2 linked regions of the Stegostoma tigrinum genome follow. The protein of the gene in region 1 purifies or fractionates together with the protein of each later gene. This does not show direct contact. Links are inferred from orthologs where the notes say so. Each region holds a gene or a part of one and is shown in the gene's direction. Other genes may lie near its edges. The genes, in order: saal1 and long-chain fatty acid transport protein 2-like.

Region 1 (16,328 bases):
AAGACATGGGGGTAAATATTTTGCACAGAAGGTGGTTTGCATGGAAATTAACTTCCTGAGGAAGGGTTGGATGTGGGTACAGCTACAACATTTGAAAGACATTTGGAAAAGTACATGAATAGAAAAGGCTTGGAGGGATATGGGTCAAGAGCAGTAAGATGTGACTAGTTTAGTTTAGGATTATGTTGGGCACAGATAAAGGATCTGTTTCCATGCTATATGATTCTTATATATAATTCCTGAAATTGTCCGAGTTCCCCTGCTATCTTCCTCAGGTATGCACAGGCATTTTTTGGTAAAACCATTTTTCTTTGCCATTTTCTTCAAGTGTAGGAAGTGTTGCACCATTTTGTTCTTTATTTTGAAGGATCATAGACCTAGTTGAATCTATTCATAACATTGATCTGTCCTTTCCCTGCAGATCACAATTCAGTGTGCTCAGTTGTTTCATTATGTCTGGAAGGAACCCTAGGTTGGGCCACCACACATTGTCTGCCACTTTCATTCCCAGATTTAAGCAAAAATCATGGTTTCCATTGTCAGATCAAAAAATCTTTGCAGGACCTTCTGTCAACTTAACTACCTCACAACAACTTAGAGGATTGGTTCACTGTAGGCAGTACTGAGTTTCAAAAGTAGCAATTTAAATAACCAGTGCTAAAGGTCTTTTGCTCGAAACAAACTGAGTCTTAACATCAACTTTCATTACACAAGAAGTCTGTGACTTTACTGGCTAATATGGTGAAAGTAGGAAGGCAGATAGTTGTTGGGCTGTAAATTGAGAGACCTGGCTGTCCTCATGAACTAGTTGCTGAAAGTAAGTGTGCATGTGCGAAGTACTGGGCTAATGGTAAGATTCTTGGTAGTGTGGACGAGCAGAGGGATCTTGGTGTCCACATGCATAGATTACTGAAAGTTGCAACCCAGGTTGATAGGGTTGTTAAGAAGGCACACGGTGTGTTAGGTTTTATTGGTAGAGGGATTGAGTTTCGGAGCCGTTAGGTCATGTTGCATCTGTACAAAACTCTGGTGCAGCCGCACTTGGAGTATTGTGTACAGTTCTGGTCGCCGCATTATAGGAAGGATGTGGAAGCATTGGAAAGGTTGCAGAGGAGATTTACCAGGATGTTGCCTGGTATGGAGGGAAGGTCTTATGAGGAAAGGCTGAGGGACTTGAGGCTGTTTTTGTTAGAAGAAGGTTAAGAGGTGACTTAAGAGAGACATACAAGATGATCAGAGGATTAGATAGGGTGGACAGTGAGAGCCTTTTTCCTTGAATGGAGATAGCTAGCACGAAGGGACATATGTTTAAAAAGAGGGGTGATAGATATAGGACAGATGACAGAGATTCTTTACTCAGAGTAGAAAGAGTGTGGAATGCCCTGCCTGCAACAGTACTAGACTCGACAACTTCAAGGGCATTTAAATGGTAATTGGATAAACATATGGATGATAACGGAATAGTGTAGGTTAGGTTGGCTTCAGATTGGTTTCACAGGTTGGCACAACATCGAGGGCCGAAGGGCCTGTACTGCGCTTTATGTTCTATGTGCAGCAGTCAGTAAAACTAGCAAACTGTATGTTGGCCTTCATAGCCAGAGGGTTTGAGTACAGGAACAAAGATGTCTTGCTGGAATGATACAGTGCATTGGTGAAGCCATACTGGAATATTGTGTACAGTTTTGATGTCCTTTCCTGAGGAAGAATGTTCTTGCTATAGAGTGCAGTGAAGGTTTACCAGATTGACTCCTGGGATGGTGCAACTGACGTATGAGGAGAGATTGAATTGGTTAGAATTGTATTCATTGGAGCCTAAATCCACATCACTGACATCAAATTGATGAACAGGTAAAGAGCAGGTGATTATTCAAGTCTTCCCCATGTACATGATGCTTGACTCATTCTAGATACTTCAAAGCCCACCCTCTGTACCACTGTACAAACCATAACTGTTTTCTCACAGTTTCATTTCTTTTTCCAGTTCAGTTGCTTCTTACTGATGACCTTACCCTTATACTAACTGATGTTGTAGGTGAAAGTTTTTGTGAAGATTTGTAGCTGGGGTTGTGGATGAGGTTGTAGACTTGCTCACTGAGCTAGTGTGTTTGATTACAGACATTTCATCACCATAGCATTGTCAGTGTGCCTCCAGAGATGAACGTTAAGGATCCTGTACCCACAACCAATAAAACTAACGTAATATACAAAATACCATGCAAAGACTGTGAAAAACATTACATCGGCCAAACTGGAAGAAAACTGACAATATGGATACACATGGACAAGAAAGGATATGAATTTGACTGCGACAACACATCCATAATAGCATGAGCCAAACAGAGTCATGGCAGGGAATTCTTGGATACCTGGCATTCCAACTGGAATTCCGTCAACAAACACATTGATCTGTACCCGATTATACGAACCACTGAAAAACAGAGCCGGAAGTGATACTAACCACTCCAGCAAACCAAGGCGAATAAATAACATGGGACAGAACACCAATGCTTCACCTGAGACACACTGACAATGTTACCCAGCAGGGTGACAAAATGTCTGCAACAAAATACACCAACTGGGTGATAAAATGTGAGGCTGGATGAACACAGCAGGCCAAGCAGCATCTCAGGAGCACAAAAGCTGAAGTTTCGGGCCTAGACCCTTCATCTGATGAAGGGTCTAGGCCCGAAACGTCAGCTTTTGTGCTTCTGAGATGCTGCTTGGCCTACTGTGTTCATCCAGCCTCACATTTTATTATCTTGGAATTCTCCAGCATCTGCAGTTCCCATTATCTCTGACACCAGCTGGGTGAACAAGTCTACAACCTGATGTAGTTGGTTGCTTCTCCATCTCCATCTTGCCTTTATAATTTTCAGTTCAAAAGAACAATTGTTCTATTTATACCTTAATCCTCATCACCTCCCTCCCTCCACCGAATCCAATGCTGTCATAACTGTTTGATTTCATTCCTTCCTTCATCCCCTTAATCCTTTCTATCTCATTTATGCCACATTTTGTGTTCAAAGCACAAGTTGTTTCAATGAGATTGGTTTGGCCAGAGTAGGGCTGGAGGTTTTATTTCCATTTACACCAACAACCAACTAAACCATGTGATATTGTATGTGACATCTAGAAGTGGAGGAGTAGGGAAATTGAAAATGATAATGAGACGATAATAAAACACATGTCGGTCAGGGAAATAATTAATGGGACTCTGGAAAATAAATAGACCTGAAATTCTCTGCCAAAAACTTATTATTGAATTACACAAATTATTTTCAAAGTAATCAGATGTGTAAAAACAAACAGCGACAATTCAAATGAAATGAGGAACTGAATCTAAGAAGTTGAGAGCATAAAATCCTACGCATTTGTGCAGATTTTGAACTTGGCCTCAATTTAAAACGGATGTGGAATTCAGCACATGCTGGATATATTATGCATAGCCAAGAGAGGGTTCCAACTGCTTAGAACTGAGAGAGCTAGTTTGCGCCAAATAAGCATGTTTTCAACAATCTGGGTCAAAATTTCTTCTACACTGTACAAACTGCTGCCATTGCTACAGGATACGGAACTGTGGAGCTTGTAATTGATAATAAAATGTGAGGCTGGATGAACACAGCAGGCCAAGCAGCATCTCAGGAGCACAAAAGCTGACGTTTCGGGCCTGGACCCTTCATCAGAGAGGGGGATGGGGAGAGGGAACTGGAATAAATAGGGAGAGAGGGGGAGGCGGACCGAAGATGGAGAGTAAAGAAGATAGGTGGAGAGAGTATAGGTGGGGAGGTAGGGAGGGGATAGGTCAGTCCAGGGAAGACGGACAGGTCAAGGAGGTGGGATGAGGTTAGTAGGTAGCTGGGGGTGCGGCTTGGGGTGGGAGGAAGGGATGGGTGAGAGGAAGAACCGGTTAGGGAGGCAGAGACAGGTTGGACTGGTTTTGGGATGCAGTGGGTGGGGGGGAAGAGCTGGGCTGGTTGTGTGGTGCAGTGGGGGGAGGGGACGAACTGGGCTGGTTTAGGGATGCAGTAGGGGAAGGGGAGATTTTGAAACTGGTGAAGTCCACGTTGATACCATTAGGCTGCAGGGTTCCCAGGCGGAATATGAGTTGCTGTTCCTGCAACCTTCAGGTGGCATCATTGTGGCAGTGCAGGAGGCCCATGATGGACATGTCATCTAGAGAATGGGAGGGTGAGTGGAAATGGTTTGCGACTGGGAGTTGCAGTTGTTTGTTGCGAACTGAGCGGAGGTGTTCTGCAAAGCGGTCTCCAAGCCTCCGCTTGGTTTCCCCAATGTAGAGGAAGCCGCACCGGGTACAATGGATGCAGTATACCACATTAAGCAGAGGTTCACCTGCACATCTGCCAATGTGGAATGTCATCTTGGGGCCTGGGATAGGGGTGAGGGAGGAGGTGTGGGGGCAAGTGTAGCATTTCCTGCGGTTGCAGGGGAAGGTGCCGGGTGTGGTGGGGTTGGAGGGCAGTGTGGAGCGAACAAGGGAGTCACGGAGAGAGTGGTCTCTCCGGAAAGCAGACAGGGGTGGGGATGGAAAAATGTCTTGGGTGGTGGGGTCGAATTGTAAATGGCGAAAGTGTCGGAGGATGATGCGTTGTATCCGGAGGTTGGTAGGGTGGTGTGTGAGAACGAGGGGGATCCTCTTAGGGCGGTTGTGGCGCGGGCGGGGTGTGAGGGATGTGTTGCGGGAAATGCGGGAGACGCGGTCAAGGGTGTTCTCAATCACTGTGGGGGGAAAGTTGCGGCCCTTAAAGAACTTGGACATCTGGGATGTACGGGAGTGGAATGTCTTATCGTGGGAGCAGATGCGGCGGAGGCGGAGGAATTGGGAATAGGGGATGGAATTTTTGCAGGAGGGTGGGTGGGAGGAGGTGTATTCTAGGTAGCTGTGGGAGTCGGTGGGCTTGAAATGGACATCAGTTACAAGCTGGTTGCCTGAGATGGAGACCGAGAGGTCCAGGAAGGTGAGGGATGTGCTGGAGATGGCCCAGGTGAACTGAAGGTTGGGGTGGAAGGTGTTGGTGAAGTGGATGAACTGTTCGAGCTCCTCTGGGGAGCAAGAGGCGGCGCCGATACAGTCATCAATGTACCGGAGGAAGAGGTGGGGTTTGGGGCCTGTGTAGGTGCGGAAGAGGGACTGTTCCACGTAATCTACAGAGGCAAGCATAGCTGGGGCCCATGCGGGTGCCCATGGCCACCCCCTTAGTCTGTAGGAAGTGGGAGGAGTCAAAAGAGAAGTTGTTGAGTGTGAGGACGAGTTCAGCTAGGCGGATGAGAGTGTCGGTGGAGGGGGACTGGTCGGGTCTGCGGGACAGGAAGAAGCGGAGGGCCTTGAGGCCATCTGCATGCGGAATGCGGGTGTACAGGAACTGGACGTCCATGGTGAATATGAGGTGTTGGGGGCCAGGGAATTGGAAGTCCTGGAGGAGGTGGAGGGCGTGGGTGGTGTCACGGACGTAGGTGCGGAGTTCCTGGACCAAAGGGGAGAAAATGGAGTCCAGATAGGTGGAGATGAGTTTGGTGATGAGCTTGTAATTGATCTGCCTTATGGAAATGCATGCTGCTTGGCTTGCTGTGTTCATCCAGCTCCACACTTTGTTATCTAAAATTACAATAAGAACCTGCTGTGTTTTGAACAGAATTATGCATAACAGAGTCAGCAAGAGGCAGCACGCCAGTCTGCTTTTAAGAAATAGTTGGACATAATTGTGAGATTTCTGGAACCAGCAAATGGTTACTGAAGAAGAAACCAAATGAAAAGCTCAAAGTAAAGAATTGCAAGGTTGCATCTGTATATACCACTGCAAATGAAAGTGTGCCAGGTCAGAAGTCACACAAGACCAGGTTTTCTCGCCCAACAGATTCACTTGAAAAGACAAGCTTTCGGAGCCTCAGTCTTTCTTCTGATGTTAGTGAGAGGTAGTATCATATACAGAATTTAAAAGTAAAAGATCAAATAATCACACCATTTATGAGGATGTACTAAACAAACCTAAGGGTTAAATCTTTAGTTAGTTAAAGGTTTTAATTGATTAATATGTATGTGTAAATTCCCGAAATCCTTCCAAGTCCCGATCCTGAAAACTAAAGGTTTCATCATTGCAGAGGCACAATGTGTAACAAAATTGTGAACAGACTCCCAGCCGGAGGGTGGCGCTGTGAGAGGGCGAGTGTGAACAGACTCCCAGTCGGAGATAATAGGAACTGCAGATGCTGGAGATTCCAAGATAATAAAATGTGAGGCTGGATGAACACAGCAGGCCAAGCAGCATCTCAGGAGCACAAAAGCTGACGTTTCGGGCCTAGACCCTTCATCAGAGAGGGGGATGGGGGGAGGGAACTGGAATAAATAGGGAGAGAGGGGGAGGCGGACCGAAGATGGAGAGTAAAGAAGATAGGTGGAGAGGGTGTAGGTGGGGAGGTAGGGAGGGGATAGGTCAGTCCAGGGAAGACGGACAGGTCAAGGAGGTGGGATGAGGTTAGTAGGTAGCTGGGGGTGCGGCTTGGGGTGGGAGGAAGGGATGGGTGAGAGGAAGAACCGGTTAGGGAGGCAGAGACAGGTTGGACTGGTTTTGGGATGCAGTGGGTAGAGGGGAAGAGCTGGGCTGGTTGTGTGGTGCAGTGGGGGGAGGGGATGAACTGGGCTGGTTGAGGGATGCAGTGGGGGAAGGGGAGATTTTGAAACTGGTGAAGTCCACATTGATACCATATGGCTGCAGGGTTCCCAGGCGGAATATGAGTTGCTGTTCCTGCAACCTTCGGGTGGCATCATTGTGGCAGTGCAGGAGGCCCATGATGGACATGTCATCAAGAGAATGGGAGGGGGAGTGGAAATGGTTTGCGACTGGGAGGTGCAGTTGTTTGTTGCGAACTGAGCGGAGGTGTTCTGCAAAGCGGTCCCCAAGCCTCCCAGTCGGAGGGTGGAACTGCGAAATGGGCGGGTGAGGTGTGTGTGAACAGACTGCCAGCGGAGGGTGGCGCTGTGATGGGCGAGTGTGAACAGACTCCCAGCCGGAGGGAGGCGCTGTGAGCGGGCGGGTTGTGAACAGACTCCCAGTCGGAAGGAGGCGGTGTGTAGGATGGGATCGAGCGATTTGTAAGGCCTGTGCTGTTTCGGTTGTGCTGAGAATAGACGCGTGGGTTTAGGCACGGGTTGTTGGAGTAATGATGAATTAAAATTTCACTTTGCTTTGTGAATAAGAGAACCTGAACCTGGGAGAGAAAAGCAGTTGCTGCAAAGAGTGAGTCTGTCGGTATTCACTCATGTACTTGTCTGGTTGAGATAGTTATGAGTGTCCCCTGTGTACTTTAGTGTGATTAGCACAGCTCTCCCTTTACTCAGAACCTGTTTATCACAATCACTTAGATCTGTACCCGCCTTCTCGTAAGGAGCGCACAAAATAAACTGGATGTTGGAACTCGAAAGAAAAAAGTCTGGACATGTTCTGCAACTCCGGCAGCATCAAGAAGAGAGGAACAGACTTAACGTTTCAGGTTTTGTAGTATGATAAATAGCCACAGACCTGAAATGTTAACTCTTCTTTACAGGTGGGAGCTTAGTATTTGGCACACATTTTGTTGCTCTCCCAAAGCTTTGACGCTCTGGTTGTACACCTAAGATCCCTAGGATCTCTGACTTCTGCCTGTCAATTCTTTTAATGCAACTATACCAGTAATTCAGGAGCAAATTACTGCAGATGCTGGAATCTGTCCTGAAAACAAAAAAAGCTGGAAATCATAGCAGGTCAGGCAGCATCCATGCAAGAAAAGCAAGGTAACGTTTTGAGACTAGATGACTCCTGTTTAGAGCTCATCTAGACTCGAAACTTAGCGAAACCAATAATTCAACTAATCACGTTCCCATCCTGAAGTGGGGATAGAAATAAGTGAGATCTCTGTCGATATTTGAGCTGAGTACAAGGTGACATGGCTGTCATTGAAAGTTTGGGACTATATTAATCTGTTTTGGAAAATATGGTGAGTTCAGAAGCCAAGCAGATCTAAATTATTAAGTTAATGATTTAGCAATCACTCCGGTTTACTTCTGGAACCTGAAGGGGTTGATGTTTCACTAAGGACTGGGATTCTTCCCACATTTTATAAAAAATCATTCATAGAATGCAGCCTTTGCTCCCTCGACCACCATTTATTGTCCATCCCTAGTTGTCTTTGAGATGTGGTGAGCTGCCTTCTTAATGCACTGCAGATCATTTGGTTCAAGAAGCCCCTCAATGCTGTTAACGAGGGATTTCTGTGGTTTTGACAACACTGAAGGTTTGGCGATATATGTCTGAGTTAGGATGGTGAGTGGCTTGGAGGTAACTGCAGGTGATGGTATTCCTGTGTTTCTGCTGCCTTTGTCCTTCTAGTTGGTAGTGGTGGACAGTTTGGAAGGTGCCTAAGGAGCCTTGATGATTTTCTGCAGTGCACTTTGTAAAAGTATGCACTACTGTTACTGTGAGGCAGTGGATGTTTGTGGATGGGCTGTCAATTAAACAAGCTGCTTTGTCCTGGATGGTGTCAAGCTCTTATTTACCCTGGAAAGTAGTTTATTAAACTGTGTAGTTTTAATTGGTTAAATTGCAGCAGTGTGTAATTACATTTCCTGTATGACCTGTGTGCATACAGTGTCTGTTCTTCTCCATGGACCTCTCCTGTTGCATTAATGCAGTGTTCCTGTGCTTCCCAAAGTAGCGTTGTTCAAGCATTCTGAATGGCTGGGATGGATCGCAACCCATCCCCACCACCAAGTGATGAAAGCAGTGATGAGACAACCAGAGTTGATGCAATTGGGAACACAGTGTACAGTAAGCACTGGTTGTTCACCACGCTCATGAGGCTGATTGAGGTAACGTTTACATTCTGTATGTATACAAAAACGTAGGTCCTATTTTGAAATAAGAATGCAGATTTGATCAGTTTCATTAGGGCTTGTTGATTCCTCAGAAGGCAATAATTAATCAAACCTGACTCAACCTATAAATTATGAGTTAGCTATAATTGGTCTGCGCTGCACCACCTAATTTCACTTAAAATGATGCGGGGGTAGGGTAGATGGAGAATGTCAGCAGTGTCAAGTAGCCCTTAAGTAAAAGGGCTGTCTGACTGAATTGGCTTCATGCTGAACACCCATATTATTTGATCAACCTGTTAATCGGAAGCATGACAAGGCCATTGAGGGCATACACTGTCAATCATATCCATATCAAAAAACATCATGATTTTTGTAACTCCAAGCACAGAACTTGTATTATAACTACGGATTTTACTGGGGTATGTAGCAAGAAAAAGTATGCACAACAACAGTTTACAAAGGCCAGAAAACAAAAAAATATATTAACCACTTCACTTTCTCAGCTTGTCTCTCCAGAAGGTGAAGAGGTGGAAGAGTTAGATTCCAGAAAAGAAACAGAGCTGGATGAGGATCTGGAGAATGAGATCTGTAAAATGTGGGACATGTCAATGGATGAGGTAATCATGGAGTTCTATGGAGACCCTTGAATGTGATGGTGATTGCTGTCTGATTGAATGTAAGTGACTGATGTGTCTAGAAGGAATATCATACCTATATTCCAAGTCTCCAAATCTCTTTGCTCTTCACTGTTCTGTCTTTAAATTCCCTTCCCTGACTCAAAAATCAATCTCTGCAGTGAGAGAGGAAGATGAACTAATGTCTAGCTTTGGAGATAAATATGATCATCTCTTAATTTGATATTCTGACTTATTTTACTGTTGCTTCATTTCACTGAGAGAGGTTTAAGTAAAATGAGTGACTTCTGTGGTGAATTCACGAATCAATTAATTTTTCTCTTTTACTATAGCACAGTACATTGAACTGTCAGAGCAGCTCTACACTGAAAAGACACTGTGAGATTAAGTGATAGTGTGAACATTTTGTTTTCCAATCATAGCTTTGCGGACTGTACTGTGGAAGGGATTGATGTATATGCTGAGTTGTAAGTGGTCTATGCCTGTTTGAAATGCAGCAATTTTGGTATCATTAACCATGCAGCTTAAAGGGCTAGGTTCTTAACCTTAAGAGATAAATGATGGCTGTTCCTGTCAATGTAAGATGTTTGGGTAATGTACCCTGACTCAGATGCATGTCACTGTTACTTAATGACTAAGCTTTGTGTTTTGTACTGTAGGACGTTGCTGTGTTTCTTCAGGAATTCAATGCTACAGACATCTTGTTGGGGATCATTGGTAAATCCAAGTGTCCCCGACTAACGGTGGGTGAAACTTGTAGTAAGTGAGGGTTATTTGCAATGTAATATGTTCCTGTCCAGACTGTTGTATGGTGCCCTCAATCCTTATTGTTGTTGGAGCGTGAGAGACCTGGTAATCAGACTTCTCCGGCATAGTGTCTAATCTTAGAATATCACCCATGACAATTATACTCAGTTTGTAGTAATTTCCCAGTATCCATTTTGCAATGCCTTTTTGCCATTGGGCATGGTATGCACCTGGTTGTTAATGAGATATGGTTTCCCTCTTACTGGCCTATGTCTGGATAAATGGCTGTTGGACAAACAGCAATTTCTTACTGAAAAGGATCAGAAGGAAACCAAGTTGTACTGTTGTAATGAAATCAGCTGTCTGGATGATTTCTGCAGAAGTAAGCTGAATATCTTTCCCAGTTACTTAGCCTTCATTTCTTTGGGAAATCGTTATACAGGACAGCAACTTTAGAATATTGGTTATAAGGAAGTGCATTACACTCTGAAAAAGGTTTTTCTCACCACATTTCTGCAAGTACTGATCTGCTCACCTGCACGCTCCCCTCTAGCTGCGATACTCTCATCCCCAATAAACCAATTACTGTCTCTTATGCTGGTTCTCCTGGTAGATACCCTATCTCTCCTAAGTCCAAAGGATGTAGACTTGAAAGGATAAAATGCACAACTGATTTAGCTAGTTAGTGTGAGTATGGCTGGATGTTAGGTTAATCACTATTCTAGGATGTTCGTGAAATGAAAGCTTTTACCTCTTGAGTTCTTTTTAAACCCGTCACCCCATTTCCTTGACTGCAACAATAAATGCATGGAGTTCATGGGCATCTTTTGTCACTGATTTTAAAACCGTCTGAACAGTTGCTGCTGCCCCCTTCCATTTCACCAGGCCAAACTTCCTCAAAATTCCCTTTTGTCCCCACCTTGAACTTGCATATACCTCCTTTTTCTCTCCTATCTCTTCAGGTCCTTTTCAACTTCAACCCAACCTACAGTCCACTTCTTACTCCCTTATTCCTTCTAAGCTGCTAACTGCCCAATTTCTCCTCCCGATCGCCGTAATGATCAATATTGAAAATTGTTCAGTCTCTGTTCTCTAGATCTGTCATCATCATCCTTAAAAACAAAATTCTTGACCCCACTGCCGTTGCAAAGTATGGTCCCATCTCCAGCCTACCATTACTCTCCAAAATCTTTCAGTGTTTTGTTGCTTCCTAAATTGGTGCTCACGTTTCCTAAAACTGTGTTAAAATGTACGATTAACTCAATAAATGAGCTGAATAGTTATGCTTACATTCTGTAGAGAATACTGTTCTCTATGCTGCTGGAGATGGGACGTGGGGAGTATGGTTTAAGATGGTACTTTTCTGTAGGAAATTAAATGATGCAGAATTATTACTGGGATAGTGTGTAAATGGTGTGAGGAAGGAGTGATCTTCAGATAATTGCTCATTCCTCATTCCATTTTCTTTCTGTGGCAGTGGTCTGTAATTGCTGAATAAAGTCTCTTCTTTATCGAGGTTAGGAAATTTGTGTTGGTATCCTGGGAAATATGGCTTGTTACAGTGAGACCTGTCGGGCAATCAGTAACAACAATAATCTCGTGTGAGTATTCGTATACAACCCATGCTGCACATTCTTCAATAGATAACCAGTAAAAACATTAAGTCCTGTCCTTATTGAATATTGTTGGTGCAATAGGTTTTTACAAAAACTGGCATTAAAAATGAATTAAAGATAAGCTCACAGCTTAGAATTTTTCTCTTTTGTTGTTGTCCTCAGCTCTCCAGTATATGGAGCATGAGCTGGGCAAACCATAATTGATATTTTAAGTTACCAGGGGCTTTATCTTACATCAAAGAAACAATCCCCTCTGTAACCTCTAATAATGGCGCCAGAGTTAATGAAATTTTGCAAGTGGCATATAGAACTCTGTAAACCTACTTGCTGTATTCAGTTTATCACCAAAAAGGCCCCTTGATCTCTGGATAGAATCATTTTACCAGTAAACTCAGCCAGTTTTTTATTTGAAATACCAAACAGAAGGTACTCTGGCATGTCAGACCCAAGAAGTAAATCCAGTGTAACCTTGGTACTGTGATTCAATAGCACCAGCGTAGTATGAAACACCCAAAGTGTTCAGGTGTATGAAGATTCCCAGTACTAAAAATTAGCAGTGTTTCAGTGCATGATGTTTGTGCTACATGTGTGGAAACTTTTGAGGTATCTCTGTAGGTGGAGACAACATTTGCCTCTGAGACTGTGTGCAGTTTTACTCCAGCTGTAGATCCATGAGTTTATTGTGGCATCAATTTTGCCTTTCAACACCTAGCAATATTTAAGTAAGTATTTATGAAGCAGCTAGATGGGGATATGTGATGGAGTGAATTAGCTCTAAGATGAGGAATGTGCGTTTTTTTGAAGCTGTAGTTCTAGAATTTGCATCTTTTAGGATATATTTTGTATTTTCATCATATATATCAAAGCAAATGTTCCATACAATCAGTGATTGATATTTAAGAATCAAGCTGTTTTCCAACTTTCACTAGAAATCCTCATTTTATTTGAAGATGTATTTCAGCAAACAGCTAGTCTTTTTAGCTGCAGACTATAAGATATTGAATAAGGAGGGAAGCAGTATAATTTATTGAATCTAAAAGATGTGAAAGAAGAATTTTGGGATTTTATTCTTTTTTATAGTTTCCGTGTGGTAGTTCTTTTAAAAAGGCTGTGATTATTATAATTGTCTTAAGAAAATTATGTTGGGTGGAATAGTGGCTCTGTGGTTAGCACTGCAGCCTCACAGTGCCAGGGACCCAGGTTTGATTTGACCCTTGGGCAACTATCTGTGTGGAGTTTGCACATTCTCCCCCCTGTTTGCATGTGTTTCCCTCAAGTGCTCCAGTTTTCCCCCTCTGTCCAAAGATGTGTATGTTGGGTGGATTAGCCTGGGGAAATGCAGGGCTATAGGGTGGTGCAGGGGAGGGTGGATCTGCATTGGATGCTCTTTGGACAGTCGGTATGGACTTGATGGGCTGACTAGCTGCTTCCTGTAGGGTTTCTATGTCGGCAAGAGATGACGAGGAAGAGAATAGGGAAGAATTTAGGGAGTAAATGTTATAAGGTTTGTTGGGTTTTGAGGTGTTTCTTGGAATAATTGGCTGTTTTGCTGATCATCTTGTTTTCTTCCCTATTCCATAGTGACGTTTTGCTATTGCTGCTAGGAGATTCTGACCCACCTACTCTTTTGGAAACGAGCAGGTAGCATTTTGAATACCATGTGTACTAGATTTATGAAGGTCACATAATACTTGATTACTTTTTAGCTAAATGACTTCATGAATTAACGACAATATAAGGAAAATCTAATATGATGAAATTTTATTATGTTGGTAATGGATCTTCTTTGGAAACTGCCATAGTCCTTTTATGAAAGTACTACTGTGATTCTGTTAGGGAAGCAATGCTAAGCTTTGGCCTCAGCAATGATGAAGGAACAGCAAGATAGATTCAAGTTAAAATAGTGAGTGACTTACTTGAAAGTTTGGAGCTAATGTGGCGACATTACATTGCTGCGTTTGCTTCTGATTTATGTTCCTGGATGCGATATGAAGTTTGACATCCGGAAATGTGCAGCCAATCAGTCGGTGTATCTGAGTGTGGTCAGTGTTTTGAATGGGACACGTCAACACCGTCCTAATACAAGTGTTAACCTGTCTTTCTTTTTCAGATGCTGACTGATTTTGTTCATTTAATGTTATTTTTATCTAACTTGTTTTGTGTTTATGCTATGCTGTCTGACTCTGAAATGAGCCATTTGTCAGTATGGATGAGATGCATCATCTGATTCTAGTTGGCAGTATATTTATTGGTCTGGAATTGGTTGTAAATTGTCACAGAACATCTGATCCTGATCATGGAAACGGGGATGATTCTTCAGTGCAAATAATTGATATGAACTAACATGGTTTCATTAAGATGTGAAAGTGTTTGCTGTCTGTTAATTTGAACTATGAGAAGTAACCAACAATAGAATTATCCATTCTATACTCAAACTAGGGTTGTGTATGGAGGGGTGTTGTGCACTGTAGATTAAGTGTGGTCTATCACTGATGGTGTTAATATTCTAAGAATGCTAGGCCACATTGATGCTACTTGTGGCTTCTTGATAATGATCCCTTTTCTGATTAATGATTCTGTTTTGTAGGTTAATACTGAGCTGTCTTTCTCACCCAGATGTGTCCAGCATCTGGGTTAACCAAATCCATAAGCAACGCTCTGTTCGGGAGAATGTATGCTTCATAATGCAGAGCTCCACAAATGGTAAGTGGTTTACTTTTTTGTGAAAACCATTTTGTCAAAATGTATGTGATTGGAGAAGTCTGCCTTTGTTTTCATTTTCTCAATTTTCATCTGAGCGATGTCTGCCTGGATGGAAAATTATGAGGTCAGAGAGGAGGCTGCACAAATGTGCATGCCTGTGAATTTGAAACAGTATGGAGTGTGGACTGTTGTATTCTTTGGATGACAAGCTTGCATTGATACTTTGACCTGTCATGAATTAGTGGGACTGCTGTCACTGTTAGATGTTTGAGAATTCAAGTGTACTGTAGGGGTTTCAGTGTAAAATGAACTTAGGGCATGGCTGGGAACAAGGGACTGAGATATCATAGCAATTATAGAAATGTGGCTCAGGGAAGGGCATGACTGGCAGCTTAATGTCACAGGGTATAGATGCTGTAGGAAAGGGAGGAAAGAGAGGAGGGTGAGTGGCATTTTTGGTTAAGGATAACATTACAATTGTACTTAGGGAGGATGTTCCTGGGAGAACGTCTAGTGAGGTTATATGGGTATAACTGAGAAATAAGAAAGGGATGATCACCTTATTGGGATTGTACTATAGGTTCCCCAATATTCAGTGGAAAATTGAGAAGCAAATATGTTAGGAGACCTCAGATATCTGTAAGACTGACAGCGTTGTAATGGTAAGAGACTGTTGTAGTGTTAAGGACTTGGATGGAGAGAGATTTATTAAGTGTGCACAAGAACATTTTCTTCAGTATGTAGATGTACCTTACTAGAGAAGCAGCAAAACTTGCCTTTCTGTTGGAAAATAAGGCAAGTGACTGAGGTGTCATGAAGGATCACTTTGGACCAAGTGACCACAATTCTATTAGTTTTAAAATAGTGATGGAAAAGGATAGACCGGATCTAAAATTTAAAGTTCTAAATTGGAGTAAGGCCATTTTTGATGGCATTAGGCAGGATATTTCAAAAGTTGATTGGGCAAAGCTGTTCATGGGTAAAGAGACAGTTGGAAAGTGGGACACCTTCAAATATGAGATTGAGTGTTCAGAGATAGTATGTTCCTGTAGTGTGAAGAGCAAGGCTGGTAGGGGGAGGGAATGCTGGATGACTAGACAAATTGAACCTCTTGTTATGAAAAAGAAGGAGGCATATGTCAAGTAAAGACAACTGGGATTGAGTGAATCCCTGGAGGAGTACAAGGGCAGTAAGAGTATACTTAGGAGGGAAATCAGGGCAAAAAGGGGACATGAGATAGTTTTGGTAAATAGGGCTGAGGAAAATCCAAAGAAATTCTACAAATAGGCTAAGGGCAAAAAAGTAACGAGGGAGAGAATAAGGCTTCTTAAAGATCAAAAAGGCTGTCTATATGTGGAACCATAGAAGATGGGTGAGGTGCTAAATGATTATTTTATGTCAGTATTTACTGTAGAGAAGGCCATGGAAGATCAGAAACTTAGGGAAATAAACAGTGATGTCTTGAGAAGTGTCGATGATAGCCGTGATGTGGAGGTTCCGGTGTTGAACTGGGGCGGCCAAAGTCAGAAATCACACGACACCAGGGTATAGTCCAACAGGTTGATTTGAAAACACAAGCTTTCAGAGCCTCACTAACACCTAAAGAAGGACTGAGGCTCCGAAAGTTTGTGTTTTCAAATAAACCTTTTGGACTATAGCCAGGTGTTGTGTGATTTCTGACCTTGAGGAGTGATCATATTACAGAAGAGGTGGTGCTGGTGGTCTTAAAACACATAAGGGAAGAGGTAGCTGGGCCCCTTG
Region 2 (16,109 bases), on another chromosome or scaffold:
AAGACTGTCAGGGCTTTGCAGATGGTTATTGTGTTTGATTGCAGGCATCATTCTTTAGAAAGGAGGCTGAGGCCTTGGAGAGAGTGCTATGGAGTTTTAATAGAATGGTCCTGAGATGAGAGACTTCAGTTCTGTGGAGAAGCTGGGATTGTTCTCCTTAGAGCTGAGAAATGTAAAGGGAGACTTGAAAATTAACTAAAATTGCCAAGATTTTTGAAAGGTTGGTCTCGGGGCTCTCCATTTCCTGGGGAAAAAGGACTTGCACCATCCCTACCCCCCACCATCCTCTTCCACTTGGCTGAGCTCATCCTCTCTCTGAACAACTTCTCTTTTAACTCCTCTTGTTTTCTTTGGGTCAGAGGGGTAGGCATGGGATGAGCCCAGTTATGCCTGTCTCTTTGTGGGGTATGTGGAACGTTGCTTGTTGCAATCCTACTTGGGATCCCACCCTCAACTCTTTCTCCAAAACATCAATGACATCATCGGTGCTGCTTCCGCCTCTCATCTGGAATTGGAAAAGTTTATCAATTTCACTTCCAATTTCCACCTAACTCTCACCTTTACCTGACTCACCCCTTCCCTTCCTTGACATCTGTTTCCATTTCTGGGGATAGAATGTTCATTACTAACCAGTATAAACCTACCGACTCCCACAGTTACCTTTAATGATACATCCTCATGCCCCACTTCCTCTATTCCATTCTCCCAGTTCCTCCATCTCTGTTGCATCTGTTCTGATCATGCCAACTTTGACAAGGGAGCCTTTGAAACGTCCATCTTCTTCCTCAGCTGAGGATTCCCCAGCTCCATGGTTGACAGAACCTGAGCCAAGTTCAGACTATCTCCTGCAGCTTGGCCTTCACCCCCCTCTCTTGCTTGCTGCAACTGTGATAGGGAACCCCTTGTCCTTACCTACCATCCAGAGGATCATTAGCCGCCATTCCTGCCACCTTCAGTAGGATGCCACTACCAGACACATATTCCCCTCTCGTCCCTTGTCCACCTTCTGCAGGGACCATTCCCTCAAAGACACCCTGGTCCACACCTCCTCCGCTGCCAACACCCACCTCCCACAGCTGCATGGCACCTTTCCCTGCAACTGCAGAATGTGTAGTGCCTTCCCATGTACTTCCTCCCCTTTCACTATCCAACATCCCAAACACACCTTCCAGGTGAAGCACTTCACTCACTCTAGTATACTGTATTCGCTGTGGTCTCCTGTACGTTGGGGAAATGAAGCACAGACTGGGTGACCACGTAGCAGAACATCTACGTTCTGTCCACAAAACAGACCATGAGCATCCAGTTCGCTGTCCTTTAACACAGCACCAATTCCCTGGCTGGCATCTCTGTCTTGGGCTTGCTGCAGTGTTCCAGCGAAGCTCAGCGCCAATGACAACAACAACACAACCTGAGGAAGGGTCACCAGACCCGAAACATTGACTCTGGTTTTCCCTCACAGATGCTGCCAAACCTGCTGAGCAGTTTTTTGTTCCTGATTTACAGCATCCGCAATTCTTTCGGTTTTTGGGTTTTTTTTTAGCTCAGTGCCAAGCTGGAAGAACAGTACCTCATTTTTCACTTGGGGACCCTGCAGCTCTCCGGACTTCATATTGAGTTCAATAACTTCAGGGTCTGAGCATCTTCTCCCATGTCCTGACCCCAAGCCCCACAAACCAGGCCTTGTCATGACACGGGCTGCTACCGTTTCCAAGATGGTGGTGAAGGATGCTTCAGCAGAGCCTGTCTGCTCTGCCCATTTCTTTCTCTTTTTTTTCTTTCTTCTTTCTCCTTTCTTCTTTTCTTCTGTCCTGACCTCAGTGGAGACCCAGTGAGGTGCCCTCCCGGCCTGTCCCCGTAGTGCCCTCCTGGCCTGTTCCGTGGTGGTCTCTTGGCCTGTCGCATGATGTCCTCCCGGCCTGTCCCCGTGGTGCCCTCCCGGCCTGTCCCCATGGTGGTCTCTTGGCCTGTCCCACGATGTCCTCCCGGCCTGTGTGCCAGTGACTCAGTGTGCAAGTGGGTCCTGCCCAGGGGTGTTCGGAAGGCACCCGGGAGAGTTTGGAGAGTTGGCAGCGTCAGCAGCAGTGATAGCATCGTGGCCCAACGGAGGATGATTGAGTGTAACGAAGCTCCTCTGGTATCAGCAGCAGTGGCATTGAGAACAAACAGCTGAGGTCTCCCAGATAGTGAGAAAATCAGAGGACTCAATCAAGACTGCAGAACCTTTAACTTTATTCCTTTGTTTTTCTAGTTTCTATTAAGAAGGGCTTTAATATTTACTGTAGCCTTATTTCTTTACTTTCAAAGAATAAGTTGACAAATAATGCTTAACTTTTTAAGATAACAAAATGTGAGGCTGGATGAACACAGCAGGCCAAGCAGCATCTCAGGAGCACAAAAGCTGACGTTTCGGGCCTAGACCCTTCATCAGAAAAAAGGGTTAGGGTCTAGGCCCGAAACGTCAGCTTTTGTGCTCCTGAGATGCTGCTTGGCCTGCTGTGTTCATCCAGCCTCACATTTTATTATCTCGGATTCTCGAGCATCTGCAGTTCCCATTATCTCTTAACTTTTTAACTTTGTTTCTTGTACCTCAGTTTTTGGTACTTAGTTATGTTTGTATTGGTGCTGTTTGTGGTGATGTTATACACTTTTCATTGTATTCCTGTACTGCTGTACTTGAGTACATGTGACAATAAAATCTAAATCTAAATCTAATCTCTCACAACCTATTGTCAGTCACTAATGCTCCCCATTTGCATCTGTTCATTCTCTCAGGCTGACCTTTATCTGATCCTTTGTGTGCCCAACTGTTTCGCTGTCTCTCTCTCTCTCTCTCTGGGGTCCATCTCCCTGTACTGTTTACTTCTCTCCCCATACCCCACCCCAACTTCAGCATAATTACCATTCTTTTCCATCACTTCTGAACAAGGGTCACTGGACCCAAAACCTTAACTTTTCTTTCTCTCCACTGACCTGTTGAGTTTTTCCAGAAATTTCTGTGTTTGCTACAGATTCATGTGGAATTGGGTCACTGGTTAAAGGGAAGCCATGATGCGAAGGAGCCGGTGTTGGACTGGGGTGGACGAGGTCAAAATCCTGTGGTGCCAGGTTATAGTCCAAGAGATTTATTTGAAAACATAAGCTTTTGGAGTCTCACTCCTTCTCCAGGTGTCAGTGGGACAGGTGGCATCAGATGCAGAATTTATAAGCGAAAGATTAAAGGGTCATAGAACCGATGCAAATGTATTGAACAAACCTAAAATGGTTGTTAAATCTTCAATCAGTTAGCAAGGATTAATATGCAAATCCCAGAATTTCTTTCAAGTCATTGCCCTGAGATATCTAAAGGTTTGATCAGTGTATACCAGAGATGACATCCCAGGTCAGACAATGCATTTTAGGTGTGAGGCCTGTGTAGAATCTGGCTGTGTATCAACTTGGAATCAGGTTAGTTTTATTTGCAAAGTAGCAATTTATAAAATACAGCATTGACTGTCTACAAATTGTGTGATTTTGAACAAAATAGAATGTACCTGTAATTACAAATCTGCCAATGCAAATTCACCCTATAGATTTATTTGTGTGTGTGTGTGTGTGTGTGTGTGTGTGTGTGTGTGTGTGTGTGTAATTCCGGACAGTTAGGAGGGTACAAATAGTGTGAATAGAGTTGATGGGGCTATATAACAACTGAAAGGATGAATGAAATGTATTATCTTGCCATTCTCTCTCTTCTGTTATGTTGTGCCTGTGAGCCTGTACCCACTTCACCTCACCAAGGAGCAGTGCTCAAGAGCTTCTGATTTTATATGAACCTATTGGACTACAATGAGATAACAAGGTGTAGAGCTGGATGAACACAGCAGGCCAAGCAGCATCAGGGGAGCAGGAAAGCTGACGTTTCAGGTCAGGACCCTTCTTCAGGATTATAACGTGATGTTGTGTGACTTTTGACTTAGTTAAAGGAGAAATAATTAACAGAAACAAGGCGGTGGGATAAGTTAGATCACTCTGTGAAAAAGCGGACACAAACAAAGAGGCCGGATGTGGTTCTGATTCTGCTTCATTTGTGTTGGTTTGCGAAACTTGCTGGACTCGGAGATTGATCCCAAATTTATTAGGTGGGCAAGATATCCCCCTAAAGATATAACAGTAGAAATCGGAAGTAAAAACCCAGTACCGGAGAGACTCAGCAGGTCTGGGAGCACCTGTGGAGAGAGGAGCAGAGTTAATGTTTTGGGTTGATATTTTCAGAATGGAATATTGTCTGGATTTGGTTGTAATGTGTTTGTTCTGGGCCTGGCTGGGTTCATTGCCAGTCAGAGACTGTGTGATACTGTGATCCTGAGCTAACCGTACCACATCAGTGACTTCCAAATCACGAAGTTATTGTATCAGAGATAATAAGAACTGGCGATGCTGGAGAATCTGAGATAACAAGGTGTAGAACTGGATGAACACAGCAGGCCAGGCAGCATCAGAGGAGCAGGAAAGCTGACGTTTCAGGCCTAGACCCTTCATCAGAAATGGGGGAAGGGAAGGGGGTGCTGAAATAAATAGGGAGAGATGGGGAGGCGGATCAAAGATGGATAAAGGAAAAGATAGGTGGAGAGGAGACAGACAGGTCAAAGAGGTGGGGATGGAGCCAGTAAAGGTGAGTTTAGGTGGGGAGGGGAGGGGATAGGTCAGTCTAGGGAGGACAGACAGGTCAAGGGGGTGGGATGAGGTTAGTAGGTAGGAAATGGGGGTGCGGCTTGAGGTGGGAGGAGGGAATAGGTGAGAGGAAGGACACGTTGGAGAGGCGGGGACGATCTGAGCTCGTTTTGGGATGCGGTAGGGGGAGGGGAAATTTTGAAGCTTGTGAAATCCACATTGATACCATTGGGCTGCAGGGTTCCCAAGCGGAATATGAGTTGCTGTTCCTGCAACCTTCGGGTGGCATCATTGTGGCACTGCAAGAGGCCCAGGATGGACATGTCGTCTAAGGAATGGGAGGGGGAGTTAAAATGGTTTGCGAATGGGAGGTGCAGTTGTTTGTTGCGAACTGAGCGGAGGTGTTCTGCAAAGCAGTCCCCAAGCCTCTGCTTGGTTTCCCCAATGTAGAGGAAGCCACACCTGGTTCAGCGGATGCAGTATACCACATTGGCAGATGTGCAGGTGAGCATCTGCTTGATGTGGAAAGTCATCTTGGGTGCCTGGGATGGGGTTGAGGGAGGAGGTGTGGGGGCAAGTGTAACACTTCCTGCGGTTGCGGGGGAAGGTGCCGGGTGTGGTGGGGTTGGAGGGGAGTGTGGAGCGGACAAGGGAGTCACGGAGAGAGTGGTCTCTCCGGAAAGCAGACAAGGGTGGGGATGGAAAAATGTCTTGGGTGGTGGGGTCGAATTGTAGATGGCGGAAGTGTCGGAGGATGATGCATTGTATCCAGAGGTTGGTGGGGTGGTACGTGAGAACGAGGGGGATCCTCTTTGGGCGGTTGTGGCGTGGGCGGGGTGTGAGGGATGTGTTGCGGGAAATGCGGGAGACGCGGTCAAAGGCGTTCTCGAACACTGTGGGGGGAAAAGTTGCGGTCCTTGAAGAACTTGGACATCTGGGATGTGCGGGAGTGGAATGCCTCATCCTGGGAGCAGATGCAGCGGAGGCGAAGGAATTGGGAATAGGGGATTCTCAGGCATCCACCTGGAAACTGATGTCCATTTCAAGCCCACCGACAGCTACCTAGAATACACCTCCTCCCACCCACCTTCCTGCAAAAATGCCATCCCCTATTCCCAATTCCTTCACCTCCGCTGCATCTGCTCCCAGGATGAGGCATTCCACTCCTGTACATCCCAGATGTCCTCGTTTTTCAAGGACCGCAACTCCCTGCCCCCTCCACAGTGGTCGAGAACGTGCTCGACTGTGTCTCCCACGTTTCCTGCAACACATCCCTCACACCCCGTCCCCACAATAACAACCAAAAGAGGATCCCCCTCGTTCTCACACACCACCCTACCAACCTCCGGATACAACGCATCATCGTCTGACACTTCCGCCATCTACAATCCGACCCCACCACCAAAGACATTTTTCCATCCCCACCCTTGTCTGCCTTCCAGAGAGACCACTCTCTCCGTGACTCCCTTGTCTGGTCCACACTGCCCTCCAACCCCACCACACCCGGCACCTTCCCCTGCAACTGCAGGAAGTGCTACACTTGCCCCCACACCTCCTCCCTCACCCCTATCCCAGGCCCCAAGATGACATTCCATATTAAGCAGAGGTTCACCTGCACATCTGCCAATGTGGTATACTGTATCCACTGTACCCCGGTGTGGCTTCCTCTACACATGGGAAACCAAGCCGAGGCTTGGGGACCGCTTTGCAGAACACCTCCACTCGGTTCGCAATAAACAACTGCACCTCCCAGTCGCAAACCATTTCCACTCCCCCTCCCATTCTTTAAATGACATGTCCATCATGGGCCTCCTGCAGTGCCACAATGATGCCACCCGAAGGTTGCAGGAACAGCAACTCATATTCCGCTTGGGAACCCTGCAACCCAATGGTATCAATGTGGACTTCACCAGCTTCAAAATCTCCCCTTCCCCCACCGCATCCCAAAATCAGCCCAGCTCGTCCCGTCCCCCCACTGCAGCCCAAAACCGGCCCAGCCTGTCTCTGCTTCCCTATCCTGTTCTTCCTCTCAACCATCCCTTCCTCCCACCTCAAGCTGCACCTCCATTTCTAACCTACCACCTCATCCCGCCTCCTTGACCTGTCCCTCCTCCCGGACTGACCTGTCCCCTCCCTACCTCCTCACCCATCTTCTCCTCTATCCATCTTCAGTCCGCCTCCCCCTCTCTCCCTATTTATTTCAGAATCCTCTCCCCCATCTCCCTTTTCTGAAGAAGGGTCTAGGCCCGAACCGTCAGCCTTCCTCATCCTCTGATGCTGCTTGGCCTGCTGTGTTCATCCAGCTCCACACTTTATCTCGCACAGATATTGATTGGCTGAGATGAAGGGGAACGGGAGGGTCTTGTGTGGAACCTGGAGCAGCAGTGCACAGACGGGCCGAGTGGCCATGCTGTGTAAATGTAGAGGGTCTGTATTTCCCAGGTTAATGCTGATTCGGTGCAAATGCAGGAATTGTGTTGGGGAGCAGGGTCAGTGAGGCTGTGGGAGGGAGTGCCCGGTTTCCCTCCCTGCACCCAGCCCCCAGCAGGAATCTCCCGCCTCCTGGAGGCGAGCCGCCAGGGTGACGGCTAGTTCTCAGTTTGGGGAAGTTTCAGATGCTGTGAGCCCCGCTCGACCCGGCAACAATGCAGGTTCTCCTCGGCTTCCTTCTGGCCCTCCTGCTGAGTGGCCTCCTGCTCCGCTCCTGGTTCCCGTACCTGGGGCACGATTTGAGAAACTTCTACCGAGCGGTCACACTGGCCATACGGGTGATGATTTACAAGAGGAAGCAGCCCCCGGTCACATTGCTGGATGTGTTCCTCCAGAGAGTGAGACAATCCCCAAACAAAACGTTTGTGCAGTTTGAGGGCCGGACTCTCAGTTACTCGGAGCTGGACAGGCAGAGCAACCAAGTGGCGAGAATCGTGCAGCGCCGGGCTGGGCTCCAGCGCGGTCACTGTGTAGCGATCCTCCTCAGCAACACTCCGCTGTTTGTCTCCGTCTGGTTGGCTCTCGCTAAACTCGGCTGCCCTGTGGCTTTCCTCAACTTCAACATCAAGGGCAAATCCCTGCTTCATTGTTTCAAGTGCTGTGCCTCCCAAGTGCTCATCGTCGGTGGAGGTGAGGAACTTTCAAATTGTAAAAGCAGCTCCCAGGTCCGAGCAAACCGCTGGCAACTCTGGGTCTCTAGGTGTGAAACAGAGAATGCAGTCATTTCTCTGTGGGTTCGCTCTTGCTGCAGTTATGCAGGGCCTTGGTGAGGTCGCTCCTTGAGTGTTGTGTGTGGTTCTAGTCTCCTAGTCTGAGGAAGGACGTTCTTGCTATTGAGGGAATCCAGCGAAGGTTCACCAGACTGATTCCTGGGATGGCAGGACTGGATCAACTGGGCTTGTACTTCCTGGAATTTAGAACAATGAGGGGGAATCTCATAGAGTTTTCTAATCTCCTGATGGAACTGAACAGGCTACACATGTGGAGAATGTTCCCAATGTTGGGGAAGCCCACAACTAGGGGGCCACAGTCAAAGAATAAGCCATTCAGGACCGAGATGAAGATGAATTCCTTCACTCAGAGATGATAACAACTGCAGATGCTGGAAGTGAGAGTCTATAGGTGTGAGGCTGGAAAAGCACAGCAGGCCAGGCAGCATTCCAGAAACAGAAAAATCACCATTTTTCTAGTTGAAGCCCTTGGTCAGGACCAGGGCAGGCAGCCCAGGAATGCATTGAAGGGGAGGTGGTGTGGTGTGTGCTAAGGGTAGGCGAGATGGTGATAGGTGCATTCAGATAGGGGTTATTGTGATTGGTCTGTGGGAAGGGTGGAGTAAATACCTGAGTAGGAAGACGGACAGATTAGGTCAGGAGCGGGAGGGCTGCATATGGGATAAGGTTGGGGGAGGAGAGATTTTGAAGCTGGTGAAGTCAATATTCAGGCCTTTGGGGCATCACCTCCAAAGGCGGAATATGAGGTGTTGTTCCTCCAGATTACGTTTGGCCTCACTCTGACAGTGGAGGAGGCCAAGGATGGTCATGTCACCAGGGGAGTGGAAGGGGCTGTTAAAGTGGTTGGTAACTGGAAAGTCAGGTTGGTTGGTGCATGCAGAGCACAGATGCTCGACAAACTGGTCCCCAAGTCTGCATTTGGTCTCCCTGGCGTAGAGTAGACCACATCGGGAGCAACGCGTGCAGTAGATGGGCTAGGTGAAGTGCAGGTGAATCTTTGCCAGATTTAGAAGGATTGTTTGGGCCCTTGCAGGTAGAAGAGGGGTGTCGCGGCAGGTGTAGCACCTCCTGCAGTTGCAGGGAAAGGTACTGGGTGTGCTGAGGGGTTGGTGGAGAGTGTGGAGCTGACAAGGCAGTCACAGACTGAATTGTCTTTGTGGAAAGCGGACAGGAGTGGGGAAGGAAATATCTTTTTTGTGGTGGGGTCTGATTATAAGTGGCAGTAGTGTTGGAGGATGATACATTGGATTCAGAGGTTGGTAGGATGGTACGAGAGGACTAAAGGTACTCTGCCCTAGTTGGGGTGAGGGTGTTTGAGGGCAGACATGTGGGAAATGGAAGACATACAGTTGAGGGTGTCCTTAATTACAGAGGAGGGGAAATTCCAGTGTCAAAGGTAGGAGGATATCTGGGATGCCCTGGAGTGGAATGCTTCATCCTGGGAGTGGAGGCAGAGAAGTTAGGTGTTTGGGATAGCATTTTTCCTGGAGGTTGTGTGAGAGAAGGCATAGTTGAGATAGTTGTAGGAGTTAGTAGGTTTAAAATGGATGTCGGTGGTGAGTCAGTTTCCAGAGATGGTGGCGGAGGGGTCCAGGAAGAGGGGGGAGGTGTCAGAAATGGTCCAGGTGAATTTGAGGGTGGGGTGGAGTGTGTTGATAAACTGCTTGAGCTCCTCGTGGGAGGATGAGGCTGCACCAACGCAGTCACCAATGTAGTGGAGGAAGAGGTGAGGGATGCTACTGGTGTAGTTGCCGAAGAGAGACTGTTCCACAAATCCTACAGTGAGGCAGCACAGCTGGGGCCCGTGTGGGTGCCCATGGCCATCCCTCTGGGTTGTTTGGAAGTGAGAGGAATCGAAGGAGAAATTGTTGAGAGTGAGGACCAGTTCAGCCAAGAAAATGAGAGTGTCAGTGGAGGGGAACCAGTGGACCGAGAGGAGACAAGGCAGTGGAAGGCGTTTTAGAGGAAGAGTTGCGAACCTGCAGCATTCTTCACCCCACAAAGCTGTTGGGGCCAATTCATCAGATATATTCAAGAGGGAGCGGGAATTGGGCCTTGCAGCTAAAGGGATCAACGGGTATGGAGACAAAGTGGGAATGGTGGGATAGATTGCATGATCAGCCATGACCATATTGAATGGTGCAGCAGGCTCGAAGGGCCGAAAGGCCTCATCCCACACCTACTTTGCGTGTTTCTGTGTTGGGATATTGCCAGGAATGAAAGCTGTCCAGTAACAGCAGGACAGTCAGTTCCTGCCTGTTCCCATCAGCACAGTCTCCATTTTCCTCACCACTCCTTACAGAATGAACTGATGACCACATCATCACAAGGGAAACATGGCCCTGTCAGACCCAAGCGAGGCTACATTCTGGCTCACTCTACCTCTCCCTGACGCACACATTGCTGACCCTAAAACACAACGGGCAAACTTTTCTCTACTTTATCTTCTAATTGTTAAAATTTGGTTATGGGATGTCGGCATTGCGCGCTGCGCAACATATATTGCCCATCCCTAGTTGCCCTTGAGAAGGTGGAGGGGAGCTGCCTTCTTGAACCGCTGCAGTCCTCCTGCTGTGTGTTGATCCATAATGCCCTTAAAGGAACAGCGATATGTTTCCAAGTCAGGATGGTGAGTAGCTTGGAGGCAGTGTTCCCATGTACCTGCTGCCCTTGTCCTTCTAGCTGGAAGTGGTCATGTGTTTGGAAGGTGCTGTCTAAGGATCCCTGGTGAACTTCTGCAGTGCATCTTGCAGATACCATGCACTGCTGTTAATGAGCTTCAGTGGTGGAGGGAGTGGATACTTATGGATGTGATGCCAATCATGTGGGTAGCTTTGTCCCAGATGGTGTCAAGCTTCTGGAGAGTTATTGGAGCAGCATCCATCCAGGCAAGTGGGGAGTATTCCATCACACTCCTGACTTGTGCCTTTATAGGTATGGACCGGATTTGGGAAGTTATTCATCACAGTATTCCTAGTTGCTGACCAGTTCTTGCAGTCACTCTGTTTATATGGCAAACTGAATTGACTTCTGGTTGATCGTAACCCCAAGGATGTTGTAGTGAGGGATTAGAACATAGAACATAGAACAGTACAGCACAGAACAGGCCCTTCAGCCCACAATGTTGTGCCGACCATTGATCCTCATGGATGCACCCTCAAATTTCTGTGACCATATGCATGTCCAGCAGTCTCTTAAATGACCCCAATGACCTTGCTTCCACAACTGCTGCTGGCAACGCATTCCATGCTCTCACAACTCTCTGCGTAAAGAACCTGCCTCTGACATCCCCTCTATACTTTCCACCAACCAGCTTAAAACTATGACCCCTCGTGCTAGCCATTTCTGCCCTGGGAAATAGTCTCTGGCTATCGACTCTATCTATGCCTCTCATTATCTTGTATACCTCAATTAGGTCCCCTCTCCTCCTCCTTTTCTCCAATGAAAAGAGACCGAGCTCAGTCAACCTCTCTTCATAAGATAAGCCCTCCAGTCCAGGCAGCATCCTGGTAAACCTCCTCTGAACCCTCTCCAAAGCATCCACATCTTTCCTATAAAGAGTGATTGAGTGATGGTAACACCATTGACTGTCAAGGGATGGTGGGGAGACTGTTATTAGTAATAGTCATTGCTTGACATGTGTGTGGCATGAATGTTACTTACCATTTGTCAGCCCAAGCCTGGATATTGTATAGGTCTTGATTGTTTCAATATCTGTGGAGTTGCGAATGTTGCTGAACATTGTGCAATCATCAGTGAACATCCTCATTTCTGACCTTTATAAGTGCCTTGTCAACATTACTCTGAATTTGTTTAGAAATCTTGTTGTGAACCTTTCAATCAATCATTAGAAACTCAAACATTTTAGTAAACTTTTGGTGTATGCAGGCATTATAGCTGGAATATGTTTGTGATGTATACTCTGTGAGCATCATATTTCCTGTCATGTTTGGGATAGGCTCATTATAAACATACTGATCTGTACACAGTGAATATTGATTATTGTGTATTTTGCAGACCTGAGGTGTTCAGTGGAGGATGTACTGCCCAGTTTAAGAGAGAACAATGTCACTGTTTTAATTTTGGATGACGAATGTACCATAGAAAGCATTGGGAATGATGAAATTCAAGCTGCATCTGACCAGCCACTGCCTTTGTCCCTCCGATCACACGTTACCTTCAAAAGCCCCTTTATTTATATCTATACCTCCGGAACAACAGGTATCTCTACTTATTCTAGAACCTGCCCAGTGTTTCTCTGTCTTATATCTTGTAAATAATACATGCTTATTAGGTATTTTGTGTCATTGAAACTTGGACAGTTTTGCTACAGCAGTGAAAAATTGACTGTGTTTGAAGTGATTAAACAAAAGGATAAATAATTAAATCATTTTTAATGTCACAGTGTGATGGATCTTTAGGATTGCTTCATGTTCCAGCTGTTTGTGTAGTGATGGTTTCTTCACTGAACCAGAGGATTCAATTGGTGGCTGTATTATGATTTGATTCTTTTATTTTTGGGGTTTAAAGGTTTGCCCAAAGCTGCCATCATCACTCACTCTCGAGCACATCTTTTTGCTTCGTTCATTGCAACTTGTGGTATCTACAGTAATGATGTGATTTATACCACTCTACCTCTTTATCACAGTGCTGGTTCCATGGTTGGAATCTGTGGCTGCATTTATGCAGGTAGGTTGCCGAATCTAAATTTGCTCCTTTTATGGTTTTAACCCTGTTCCATTTCCTTGAGATGGTCTCAACTCCTTTTCTGTTCTTTGCTTCCCTCCTTTTTCACCTCAGCTGTTTAAAATGAGCTTCTTGATACCACAGAGAAAAAAAGTGAAGCCCTTTGGTCTAAAGTACAGCATTTTGTTAATAATAAATCCAGAGGTCAGGGTTGAAGATTTCTCCTTCTGTTTGTTTGTTTACTAGCCAGTGGGCCTTTGGAATGCAGAAAAAACTCAATCCTTTTGAATAATCTCATTAAAGCTGTTCTAGAGACTGTAAGAAATTCAGTACAAAGAGACAATAAAGAGCAAACTGCCTGTGTCACATCAAGAGAGGGAGGGAGAGAGAGAGAGACCCTGAGAGAGACTGCAAGAGACCTTTCTAAAAAAGGGAGGAACCAGAGAACTCGAGCCACAGAGTGACAGACAGTTCAGGACTGGAGAGAGAATGTGAAAAGATTTTCTTGTCTGAATTTGGAACATTGTGTGAAATGGCCATGAGATTTGCTGGGTGATGTCAGCATTAGAGTGGGGCAATCCTGGATATGAAAGGCTTCAAGGATTCGTCCCTGGCAGCTCTCCCAGTTTCCCATCTGCTGGAATAGGGGAGGTGGCAGAATTCCCAAAGCATTACATTTTGAAACCTACCTGTTAATGTTGAGCATGAATACTGTTTAAAATAATTTTTTGGTGGGTCTTGACCTTTTTTGAAAAATCATACTGTCCTTTCCTTTTACGTTTGCTTGAAAGTTTTTTCCCGTACCAAACAGGTTTGAACAAATGAGTTACACTCCTGTGGTTCACAGCACATTGAGTCGAGACCTGCTGTTTCTGGAGGTGGGAAGGCACATACTTCAACGCAGTGGTGGTACACCCATTCCCTGCTGCCTTACAAACCTCCAGCAGGACGATCCAGACGGGACAGTAGGCCTGTTCCCTGCCACTTCTTGAGACCCTTAAGTGGTTGATTAAGAATCTCTTCTCTTATAGGCCTGAGCCTGCATGGATGGGGTTAACCCATCTGCAGGAGGGTCTGTGACTCTGCAGTTTCCCCAACAGTTGCTACCCTTGGGGTAACTTGTCACCTCGAGGTGGGGTGACCTAAGGCAGTCAGTGATTGAGCAACTGGACATTGGGCAGTGGGTGCCCACTGGGAGCCAAACTTCTTCCCCTGTTTCCAGCTCCCCTGCCCACCACCCCTCCTCGTACAAACCCACCGTCATCACTCCCCACTGTGTGTGACGCTGGAACTCTGGGAGCACTCTGCCAGCAGTAGCCACAGCTGCCTCCGTAGCGGTCATCATGTGCCACCCTCTAACTGATTTGGCAGCTCTCACTGGGCAGGATCTCTGCCCCCTTGGGGTCTTGGCTCCAGCTGATTTTGTTACCGACATGTTTAATCCCAGACTGAGACGCATTTGATCACAATCATTTTTTTTGTTTTGCTTTGGTTTTATGAAGTCAACTCTTAATGAAAAATAAACATGCAATTTGCAGATTTTGTTTTAACAATTAAGCAGAAGTTTGTTCACCAAAACAAATTAAGATGAAATAGAATAAACCCAATGATAATGTCACACAAATTCAAAGATGTCTAAACACACAGTAAAAGTATAATTCCATTAATCCCAAAACACACTGTTACAAGTTCCAAAACAATCCTTGTACAATACAGAAAAGTACCCTTTTTACAGTATTCATGCCAGAGAAAAAATCCTAAACACCTTCAGAGGCTTAAGGTAAGTATTACCTTAACTCCTGAAAGGGAAATGTTGATAGCTTCTTCCTTGAGCCATCATACATGTAAACTTAAACATACCTAACTTTAAATAACCTCGTTAAGGCTTTTTCTCAACACTCTGATTTGTTACTATCACTAACTCCTTACTCTAAGGAATCTAGTTTTGCTATATTCTCCCACTTTCAAGAGCACTGCTATATACAACCATCTTCATTCAAAGACTTTACAGAACTACCCCAAAACAAAGTAAAACTAAAAAAAAAGCTCTCCGCCCTTTCTTCTCCCACTTTTTTGCCCCACTCTGCCCTCTCCCCGACTCTGCCCTCTCCCCCACTCTCCCCAAGCTATGGATGTTTGCCTAGAAATTTTGAATAAACCTTTCGAACACAATGTGCCAAAGCATTGTCCAGTAGGTTAATTTGAATATACAAGCTTTTGGAGTCTCAATCCTGACACCTGAAAAAGAAGCGAGACTTCAAAAGCTTGGGTCTTCAAATTAACCTGTTGGACTATAACCTGGTGTCATGCAATTTTTGACCTTGACTACCCCAGCCCAACACCGGCACCTCCGTTATCATTTCAGCGGCCTTGTCCCTGATTGGGATGAGGGAAAGTGGATCTCTCCACTGCTTCGATAAGATTCTGTTACGGAGGTGGCCAGGGGTTTACCCACTGATGAGGTCAGTATCTTCAATCTTTGTTCACGTCCCCATCGTTTAACTCATTGATGACCAGCCTCTGTTTGATGTGGCTTGGATCCCTGCTGAGCCCTAACTCTCTGCTCTGTCCTCCCACTCCATAGGAATGGCCAGCATCCCAGGGGAAGTATCTTCATTACCATCTGCACCTAGGCCCTTGGAACCAGTAAAGGAATGGGGGTGATAGCAGCGAATTGCCCCAACCATAAGGTGGTAGTGGTTGGCACATCAGCACATATAGGAGTCATAATATTTAATAAACAGCTGCTTTCAGTAGTGGGCAATAACTATTACTTAAATTAATTGCTCCCATTTCATTGTGAGATAATCTGGGAATGCAGAAAAGTGGAGAATAATCATGTTTCTATTTTCTTCCTTTTCTTTGACAGGGGCAACTGTTGTCTTACGTCGTAAGTTTTCTGTAAGCCAGTTCTGGGATGACTGCAGGCAGTATGATGTCACTGTTATCCAGTACATTGGGGAGGTGTTACGCTACCTCTGTAATGTTCCAAAGGTAAATCTAACAGCAGTGCTTGATCAAGTGACACGCCCCACATTGTCTGGTGCCTGTTATCTGTCTGTGTGTGTCTGTGTCTGGGGGAGGGGCCGAGAGATTCCAACAGCAAAGAGAACCCATGTGATTGGAGCTGGAAGTCATTCCCATCCACCATGTTCATTGTGGCCCTACCTACACCAACTGATTCCTACCCAAGAAATTCCTTTCTATGAAACCTGTTTAACATCAAGAGTTGCTGTCATTATTTAATGTGGGAGTTTGGGAGTAGGAGAGTTTTTAAAAAAAAGACTTGCCCCCTCCATTCTAAGCCTTCATTGCTGAAATAATTTAGATTTGCTTGCCTTTTTTGGAGCTATTGTTGTACAAAGGTGTCATCATATATTGTACAATAGCCAGAAAGCTGAAGGTCTGGCCAGGAGGCAGTCTGGACTGAGGCTGATGCTGAAATGAACATTTTTGTACAGTCATACGGCATGGAAACAGACCCTTCAGACCAACTTGTGCACACCACCAAGTTTCCCAGACTAAACCAGTCCCACATGTCTGTGTTTGGTC

Evidence for each region.
Region 2: the proteins of saal1 (region 1) and long-chain fatty acid transport protein 2-like purify together in Homo sapiens (co-immunoprecipitation; 3 studies listed by BioGRID and IntAct, with this or other methods). This does not show direct contact. The link is inferred for Stegostoma tigrinum from reciprocal best matches to the Homo sapiens genes SAAL1 and SLC27A2.

The regions. Positions count from the first base shown.
Region 1 is NC_081370.1:16,714,314-16,730,641, reverse strand, and holds the start of saal1 (protein saal1), read left to right. Parts: upstream 1-6,910; 5' UTR 6,911-7,108; intron 7,109-7,118; exon of another isoform or gene 7,119-7,253; intron 7,254-7,265; exon of another isoform or gene 7,266-7,560; intron 7,561-8,703; exon of another isoform or gene 8,704-8,706; 5' UTR 8,707-8,725; coding exon 8,726-8,860; intron 8,861-9,369; coding exon 9,370-9,483; intron 9,484-10,160; coding exon 10,161-10,244; intron 10,245-11,769; coding exon 11,770-11,849; intron 11,850-13,445; coding exon 13,446-13,505; intron 13,506-14,451; coding exon 14,452-14,567; intron 14,568-16,328. UniProt on the Homo sapiens protein: Plays a role in promoting the proliferation of synovial fibroblasts in response to pro-inflammatory stimuli.
Region 2 is NC_081386.1:36,274,393-36,290,501, forward strand, and holds the start of long-chain fatty acid transport protein 2-like, read left to right. Parts: upstream 1-7,216; 5' UTR 7,217-7,295; coding exon 7,296-7,770; intron 7,771-11,888; coding exon 11,889-12,092; intron 12,093-12,401; coding exon 12,402-12,560; intron 12,561-15,426; coding exon 15,427-15,551; intron 15,552-16,109. UniProt on the Homo sapiens protein: Mediates the import of long-chain fatty acids (LCFA) into the cell by facilitating their transport across cell membranes, playing an important role in hepatic fatty acid uptake.